2 linked regions of the Tribolium castaneum genome follow. The protein of the gene in region 1 interacts with the protein of each later gene in a biochemical or structural test. Links are inferred from orthologs where the notes say so. Each region holds a gene or a part of one and is shown on either strand. Other genes may lie near its edges.

Region 1 (4,436 bases):
TTGGGTGTATGCCTCCAAAGGTAATTCCCCATGGCCCATTCCATACTTTACAATTTCCATTTCACGTTTCAATAATTGTTTGGCAAGTTTTAAATCATCCGATTTGAAATCGTCATACGGGTGCTGTTCCAGGAATGCCAACTGCTGGGCCTGAGCCAAAGCCGAGCGCTTGACTTGGTTAGGGTTTTTCAAATTGTCAAATTGCAACATTGTCACCATCTCACACTTGATCAATTCCTCGGCTTTCTGCAGCTCGGTCAACGAATGCGACTCGTGATTCGGCCGCAAAACGGCCAAATTTACATCGTGGGGGCGCGGCAGCCCCCTTTGAATCACCTGCGACCGCAGGGCTAACTCCTGAGCCGCCCGAATTTTCGCTTCTTCAAGCGCTCGCGCATCAACATCTGCCTGATCTTCGACAATATTTGGCGTTTTTTCTTCTTCTTTTTCCTCTTCTTCCTGTTCGGGAACGACGATTTCGTAGTCGTTCTTCGGTGTCGGTAAACTACTTAAGCCTAGTCTTAGTTGTTCTTTTAAATTGTTTTGGAGCGAACGCTGTTCGGCTGGAGTTTGTGCCACCATTTCGGTGTTTTCCTCATTTATATTGAGTTTGTCACGAACTGAAGGCGTAAAACTGCCTTGGGGGCCCTGCGGTGTCATGAAACCGGGGGTTTGGGCCCCGAAAGGGGTCGCCAGGACCGTATTGGGAGTGGCTATGGTGAGGGCTTGTGGTAAAACGCCCGAAAAATCCGAGTTGTGAAGTGGCGTGTTTCGGCCCCCTTTTGAAAGAGATATACAAGGTGAGGCAAAGTTTGCAGTTTGGCGTTTTGCGACTAAACTATTAACTTTTTGGGAAAAGTTATTAGTGGATGGTACACTACTATAAAAATGGGACTTTTTTCAAAGTATAAAGTTTTTTAATTTTTTCGTTCGTTTTGAAGTTATGGTATTTTTTAGGTAGTAACCCACCTAGAAATTTTTTTATTGGTTATTAAGTTATTGAGACAAATAAAGTAATAAAAAGAAAGAACTACAAGTCATTTAATGTCAATTTCATTTTTTTATTTTTTATTTTTTTTACATATTATGAACAAGAAAATTGATATTTCATCCAATAAAGACAGATTTGGAATCTTCAAACAATTTTAAGTCACATAGGCATGCTCTTGGCAGGGTATTCAGTTATTGTGACTTAAATAGTTTTTTTATTGGTAGGTGACAAAGTAAAACTTTTAACTGTATCTCTATATTTAGCTCGTATTATAAGAAAAAAAAAATTTTTTTTTAATTTATTTGTACCTTTCTTAATTATTATTACGCACATTTTTAAAAATCAAGAACTTACAAAAGTTCTTAATTTCGGGATATTTTTGAGCAATATAGCGGGTGAGGCAAACTTTGCAATTTAGTATTTTTTGGCGAAACTATTCACTTTTTGAAAAAACAGATTGGTGGACGGTAAACTACTACAAAATTGCAATTTTTTTTCAAGAATAAAATTTTTCGATTTTTTCGCTCCTCTTCGAGTTACGTCATTATTTATTTATTTTTTTGTGATTTTTTTTTTACCTTTGAGTGGGGTATCCACATGCGTCAAAGCCATGACATTTTGCGCTTCTTGAAGTATCCGATCAGTTTGCGGTGCCGGAGTTCGGGGAGTCACCGCTGCCGCTTGTGGCGCCGCCACCGTATAATCATTGAACAACGTATCAGTCGACTCGATTCCACTCTCTGCTGCAACTTCACGTGCAACTTCACTCGCTTTACCCAACTTTACGACTTGTTGCAACTCCAGATCGCTAATTTGCGGCTCGGGAAGTACCAATTTCGAGCGTTTTTTCGCCGGTTCTTGATTCTGTAGCATCGCTTGTGGAATATCATTTTCTTTTCTTTGTTTTAATTTTTGTTTATCTTTGCGACGTTCGCGTTCTTCTTGTTCGCTTCGCAGTTCACCGTCGAGATGTTGTTGACGCATTTTGTGAAAATCGGGCGCCATTGGATCAACAATTTCGGTGGAAGTGTCGTAAAAACCAATCGCTGGACGTTTTTCGAAGGGGATTTCCTCATTGTAGTCAACACCGCGTTTTTTCTTACGACGCGAATTCACTTCGATGCCGGCAGCTCGAAGCTCGCGCCTTTTTTGCAGTGCTGCCAATCGACGCGCTTCTTCCAGCTGCTTTTCGCGCGCTTTTCGCTTCGCTTTTTTGCCCTGGGTGTTGGCAAGCCTGGCGCGCGCCTCGGACAACATCTCCAGCTCTGCAACGACAAACACGCGTGCCAACCTTTTTGCGTTATAGTATACTATACAGGGTGATTCTTTTGCGGTTTTGAAATTTTTATTGCATTTTTGAATTCGTGTTTTGAAACTGAGAAAAATGTACCCCATTTGTTAGCTCTTACCATCCTCGTCCATGTCTTTGGGGTCGGGCCTCGCAGGCTTGGTTTCCGGATTGGGGTCAATTTCCCCCGGTTTGAGCTTCCGGGGGTCGTCCGTGACATCCTCCCCTTCTTCCTTCTTCTGTGCCTGATCCAGGAGGTACTCGTAGCGCTCCAAACACTGAGCGGCCGTTCGCCCGATTATGGGGGCTATCGTGCGCCACTGAGTCGGCATTAACTTGGCCAAATGTAGCAACTTTTCGTCCTCTTCCCGCGACCATTCCGTTTTTTTAATACTGGGGTCCAACCATTCGAACCAACGCGCTTTACACTGTTTGGCCGATTTGCGGTGAAGGAGCGAGGCAATTCGAGACCACTGGTTTTTCCCATATTTCATTACCGCCGCTTTGAGGATCTCATCCTCGGTGTTGCGCCAAACGCCCCCCTTTATCATTATACGCGGCATTTTTGCACTCTTTAGTTAAAAACCTAACCTCACTTTTGACAAAAACTTAAATTTTATAACAATACCACTAAAAGCACGATAATGATGCTTGGGTCAACACTATTGAGTCACTAATTAGATAAGAAGTAATTATTTTGGGACACTAATGCAAAAAACGGCCCTTTTTAAACGGCTTGATTTTTGGTTATAAAAATGGCCGTCCTTGAGTTGGCATAACTGTTAGTCGAGAAAAAACAAAAATTGGGGATTAAAAATAATCAGAACCGTACTTAGAACGTATTAATCGTGACACGAGACTGATCTAAAACGTGATAATTTTTTCCTGTCTTGAAATAATTAAAAAAGTGTGGTTGGTATCTCGCGTCAGTCGGCGAAAGTCCCTAGCCCCCCCAAATCCCTGTGTTTATTTAACCCTTTTGAAATGTTATCTCGGTGATAAAGCGCCCAAGTGTTGCCCCCTTTCGCCCCAATCGTCTAAATTCGGGCCCCAAGCCCTTAATTTCGCCCTTAACCTCACTTCTCCTGTCACTTGTCACTCCCAACTGTCATTGTTATTAGCCCCCAGAGAGCACCATGTCGTTCGCTTTGCGCGTCAAAACCAAAACGGGGCAACAAGTGATCAAAAACCTAACACCTGAGCACACGATCAAAGATTTGAAGCGCCAGTTGTGCTCCATATCGCAGATCCCCGAGGACAGGCTCCATGTGTTGTCAGGGTTCCCCCCGAAGGCGTTCGCCTTGGGGGACGATGGTCTCGAGTTGAGTCGCAGTGGTCTCAAGTCGGGCGATACCCTGATTTTGGAGGAGAAGGCCCGGGAGACTGCGCCCCCCTTGCGGGGCCATATCAGTGAAAGTGTCGACTGTCCGGGGATTCTGATGAAGAAGGTGGTGCCGGCCGACAACTCGTGTCTTTTCAGTAGTGTTTACTTCGCCCTGAACGGGAAACTGGACGAGAGTGGCACGGCAGCCCCCTACATGAGACAAGTGATTGCCGAAACGGTGGCCAGCGACCCCGAGATGTTTTCCGAGGCGATTTTGGGGAAACCCAACCGTGAGTATTGCGCCTGGATCCAGGACGACAAGTCATGGGGGGGCGCCATCGAGTTGGCCATTCTCTCGAATCACTATGGGTTCGAAATTGCCGTCGTAGACACGATCAACGCTATTATCAACCGGTTCGGGGAAGACCAGCATTACACACTTCGAATTTTTCTAATGTTTGATGGTATACACTATGACCCCCTTTTTTTGGAATCGTCCGATGTAATTTCCTTACTCAGGGGGTTATCAAAAAATTATTTGATTCGTTTCAGGGGGCGAGTATTCAGACGATTTTTCCCACTGATGATGATAAGGTTTTACAAGAGGCGCAGGAATTAGCGCGCGAGGCGAAGTCGAGTCGACAATTCACTGATGTTAACAAATTTACGCTAAAATGCATGAATTGTAATATTTTCCTTAATGGACAATTGCAGGCAAGGGAGCATGCGCAAAGTACGGGACATACGAATTTCGGGGAAGTCTAGCACTGCCAGTGACCATTTTCTAGACTTGTTTTAGATTTTTTCAAGGGGATTAATTTATTAAGAATAAA
Region 2 (4,081 bases), on another chromosome or scaffold:
CCACCAAAGGTTCCTACTTATTTATTTCACGTTTTGGAAATTTAACCCGATTTTTTAGTGTGGTTCATTCCAGTTGTTTGTAGATGGTTACAAGGACGCCGATTATTGGCTGCGGAGGTTCGAGGTGGAGCCTCTACCTCCGCGAATGGCTCAAAAATTTCAACTTCAGTTTGAACGCTTAGTCGTTTTAGATTATATAATACGAAACACGGATCGCGGAAATGATAATTGGCTTATCAAATACGAACATCCTACGATTTCTAACGGAAACGGTCCAGTAGAATTAACCGAAACCACAGAGTGGAATCTAGTTCATTTACCTGAGATAAAGGTCGCGGCGATAGACAATGGGTTGGCGTTTCCTTACAAGCATCCAGACAGCTGGAGGGCCTATCCGTACCACTGGGCATGGTTACCACAGGCTAAAGTTCCCTTCAGTAAAGAAACGAAGGATCTTGTTCTACCGTTGCTAGCCGATATGAATTTTGTGCAGGATTTATGTGATGATTTATATTTACTATTTAAGCAAGATAAGGGCTTTGACAGGAGTCTGTATGAAAGGCAAATGTCAGTGATGAGGGGCCAAATTCTTAACCTAACGCAAGCTCTGAAGGATGGGAAGTCCCCGGTGCAGCTAGTCCAAATGCCGGCTGTTGTCGTGGAAAGGTATTATTTGTTCAGTCAGTAATAATAACGCATTATTCGGTCTTTTAGGTCACAAAGCCAACAAACGTCTCGATTTTTCAACTTTACACAACGCTTCCAGGACAAGAGCCCCTTCTTCTCATGGTGTTAACAGATTTCTTTTTATATATGTATATTACGAATAGGCCAGATTTTTAATACACTATCATGTAAATACAGTACTATTTGCTGTTATTTTAACTAGGAAATTTTTTAATCAGATTATTGTTATTTTCCTTATTGGTACGGTTAAAAAAACTGATGAAATTATAATTTATTAAACAAAACAAATGGTACTACAATAAAACGTATATTGATTATCTAGTGTCTTTAATCCTTCCTAACTTTTTCTGCGCGGGGATCATCATGACGAATCACTGTGTATTCGATTTTGTACCGTCTGTTGTCCCCGTCTTTAACATTGTAGTATAAATGAAAAGAGATAGCCCCCAGCCCAAGTCCAATGAGAGCCATTACACCACTGCCCATCACATCAGGAATCTCATGCCAACCACGTTTTAGTAAACCAATGGAAGCTCGACCTGACGCCGACATTGTGCTACAAAAACTTATAAATTCCCGAATTTAATTAATTTGGACCTTGTGTACCTGTTATATAATTTTTATTATTTGTTACAATTGGAAATAACCTTACAATCCCCTGACAAGTTTTTGACAGTTAAAATGTCAAATTTCTAGTGACTTAATTTTTTATTCTCTAGCAATTTTAAAAATTTATAGGTTAAATTCACAGAAATTTGACATAAACAAAGAGGTTAGTTATTAAGTTTCCCAAAAAACCTTAAAAATGGATATTGGTGAATTACTGGACTACAAAGTAAGTCAACACATTTGACGAAATTCATTTCTAATACAAAATTCCGACTGTAGCCCCCTCAAGGCGTAAAACGCCCAGTCGAGAATGAAAACGATGAAATCGAAAAACAGAGAAAAATGCGGCGAATTGCACGGGATAAAGCCAATAGAATGTCCCGTGCCGCATCCCCAACCCCGTCAATACAAACTTTGGACCAGATATCCGAAGAAGAAAGACAAGAAATATTAAAATTTGTGGAAACTGAACAAACAGAAGTATCTCCTCAGTCAGTTCCAAGCCCATTCGTTTACAACTAGACTGTGTTTCAGGGCGAAGTCATTGACGAAGCGGCAATCAAGCGAATTGTTCTAAATTTCGAAAAACGGAGTCTCAAAAACAGAGAAATGAGGATCAAGTTTCCAGACTCGCCTGAAAAGTTTATGGAGAGCGAGCTCGAACTACATGAAATTTTACAAGAAATGAGGGTGTTATCGACCGCACCTGACTATTACCCCCTTCTTGTGAAGCTGCAAGTCATACCCAGCTTGCTGGAACTGTTGGCACATGATAACACTGATGTGGCAGTAAGTAAAAATAATAAACGTTATTGTAAATATCAAGAACAGTTAGCAGCTGTTATCTTTATTGCATTAAAAAATGTGTCAGGTGGCGACCGTGGAGCTGTTGCAAGAACTGACCGATGTGGACATCCTCCACGAGTCTGAAGAAGGTGCCGAAGCCCTAATTGACGCCTTGCTCGACCACCAAGTGATAGCCCTCCTCGTCCAAAACCTGGACCGTTTGGACGAAAAAGTGAAGGAGGAAGCAGACGGTGTCCACAACTCCCTATCAATAATAGAAAACTTGACCGAACTCCGCAATGACATTTGCAACGAGGCCACCAAACAGGGCTTGCTCCAGTGGCTCTTGAAACGGTTGAAAGTCAAAGCCCCTTTCGACGCCAACAAACTCTACGCCAGCGAACTCCTCTCAATCCTGCTCCAAGACAACGAAAAAAACCGAACTGCTTTGGGCGAAATGGACGGAATCGACACTTTGTTGCAACAGTTGGCCTTCTACAAGCGCCACGACCCCTCCAGTGCCGAAGAACACGAGCTAATGGAGAACCTGTTCAACTGTTTGTGCAGCGCACTGATGATCGTCTCAAACCGAGACCGGTTTCTCAAAGGCGAGGGCTTGCAACTGATGAATTTGATGCTCAGAGAGAAGAAAACCTCGCGGAACGGCTCACTTAAAGTGCTGGATTACGCAATGTCGGGCCCCCATGGCAAAGACAATTGCAACAAGTTCGTGGATATTTTAGGCCTGCGGACCATTTTCCCCCTATTTATGAAAACGCCGAAGAAGAACAGGAAGAAAGTCTTGTCGACGGAAGAGCACGAAGAGCACGTCACTTCGATTATCGCGTCCATGCTGCGGAATTGTCGCGGGTCGCAGAGACAAAGGCTCATTAGTAAATTTACGGAAAATGATCACGAGAAAGTCGACAGGTTGCTTGAGCTACACTTCAAATATTTGGAGAAGGTTGAAGCCATTGATGAGGCCATTGAGGAGGAAAATGGAGTTGAGGATGATGATGCGAGTTATATGAAGCGGCTGGAAGGAGGATTGTTCACGTTGCAGTTGGTGGATTATATTATTGTGGAAGTTTGTGCTGCGGGACCCGCCAGTATTAAGCAGCGAGTTATGCAAATCCTCAATCTTAGGGGGGCTTCGTTGAAGACGATAAGGCACATTATGCGGGAATATGCCGGGAATTTGGGGGACGAAGGGGATAAGGAGTGGAGGGATCAGGAGCAGCAACACATTTTGCACTTAGTTGATAAGTTTTGATATGTTATTGCCATTACTTCGAATAAAAATTATTTCATTTGGTATTTTCCTAATTTCTCGTCACAAGGGATTTTGCAGTGTTCAAAAATTATAATCACTTTATTAACAGCCAACGGATCTTTTAAAAACAAAGACACTACACTTGACTCAAGTACAAACACTAAAACACTTCTTTCTAAGACTAAAAATAAGTAATAAACGTAACAAAATAAGCATAATGTAGGTTGTACAATTTAATTCTTTTATCTGTTTTTGGCCATCAATATAATACCTGGAAAGGTCAATACTGTATTTATGTTCAGTGAAGTGTTGATTATTGTATCACTGTTTTTTTTTATATTCATTAAAAGTATTGCTCTAGCATTTGTTTATGTTACCTTATAACAACGAGTTTTAAATTAACATTATTACGTTACTCCTGTTGGAGCCAAAAATTACACAAAAATAGACTTTAATACTTTCTTATCCTACAAATATAGTGCCATCAAAAATTTCAAATTATGTGCGTTGAACAGTAGTAATTACTTGGCATGCCTCCGATGTTGGCAAAACTGAAAATCGGTGAAAACTTGTCGTTTTTGCACCTTTAGGAGCCCTAAAGCCTCACAAAAATAAAAATATCGTTTTTTGAAAGGTGTGAATTCTTGAAAAATTCTACAACGATCGATCAAAATTAAGCCGTAAAAATAATTCAAAAATTTTTTTAATTATAACCAGACCGCCAGT

What was found. The genes of interacting proteins can lie anywhere in the genome.
Region 2: the proteins of Cdc5 (region 1) and beta-catenin-like protein 1 form a complex in vitro, tested with the Homo sapiens proteins (3 studies listed by BioGRID and IntAct, with this or other methods). The link is inferred for Tribolium castaneum from reciprocal best matches to the Homo sapiens genes CDC5L and CTNNBL1.

Annotation. Positions count from the first base shown.
Region 1 is NC_087400.1:3,566,915-3,571,350, forward strand, and holds the start of Cdc5 (cell division cycle 5-like protein), read right to left. Parts: upstream 3,048-4,436; 5' UTR 2,843-3,047; coding exon 2,401-2,842; intron 2,257-2,400; coding exon 1,570-2,256; intron 780-1,569; coding exon 1-779. Other genes in the region: Yod1 (ubiquitin thioesterase Otu1), read left to right, coding at 3,416-4,105, 4,156-4,368.
Region 2 is NC_087398.1:8,515,202-8,519,282, reverse strand, and holds beta-catenin-like protein 1, read left to right. Parts: upstream 1-1,392; 5' UTR 1,393-1,492; coding exon 1,493-1,522; intron 1,523-1,575; coding exon 1,576-1,776; intron 1,777-1,830; coding exon 1,831-2,085; intron 2,086-2,167; coding exon 2,168-3,355; 3' UTR 3,356-3,399; downstream 3,400-4,081. Other genes in the region: Pi4KIIalpha (phosphatidylinositol 4-kinase type 2-alpha), read left to right, coding at 1-9, 59-666, 715-796; uncharacterized protein NdufA3, read right to left, coding at 1,015-1,239. UniProt on the Homo sapiens protein: Component of the PRP19-CDC5L complex that forms an integral part of the spliceosome and is required for activating pre-mRNA splicing.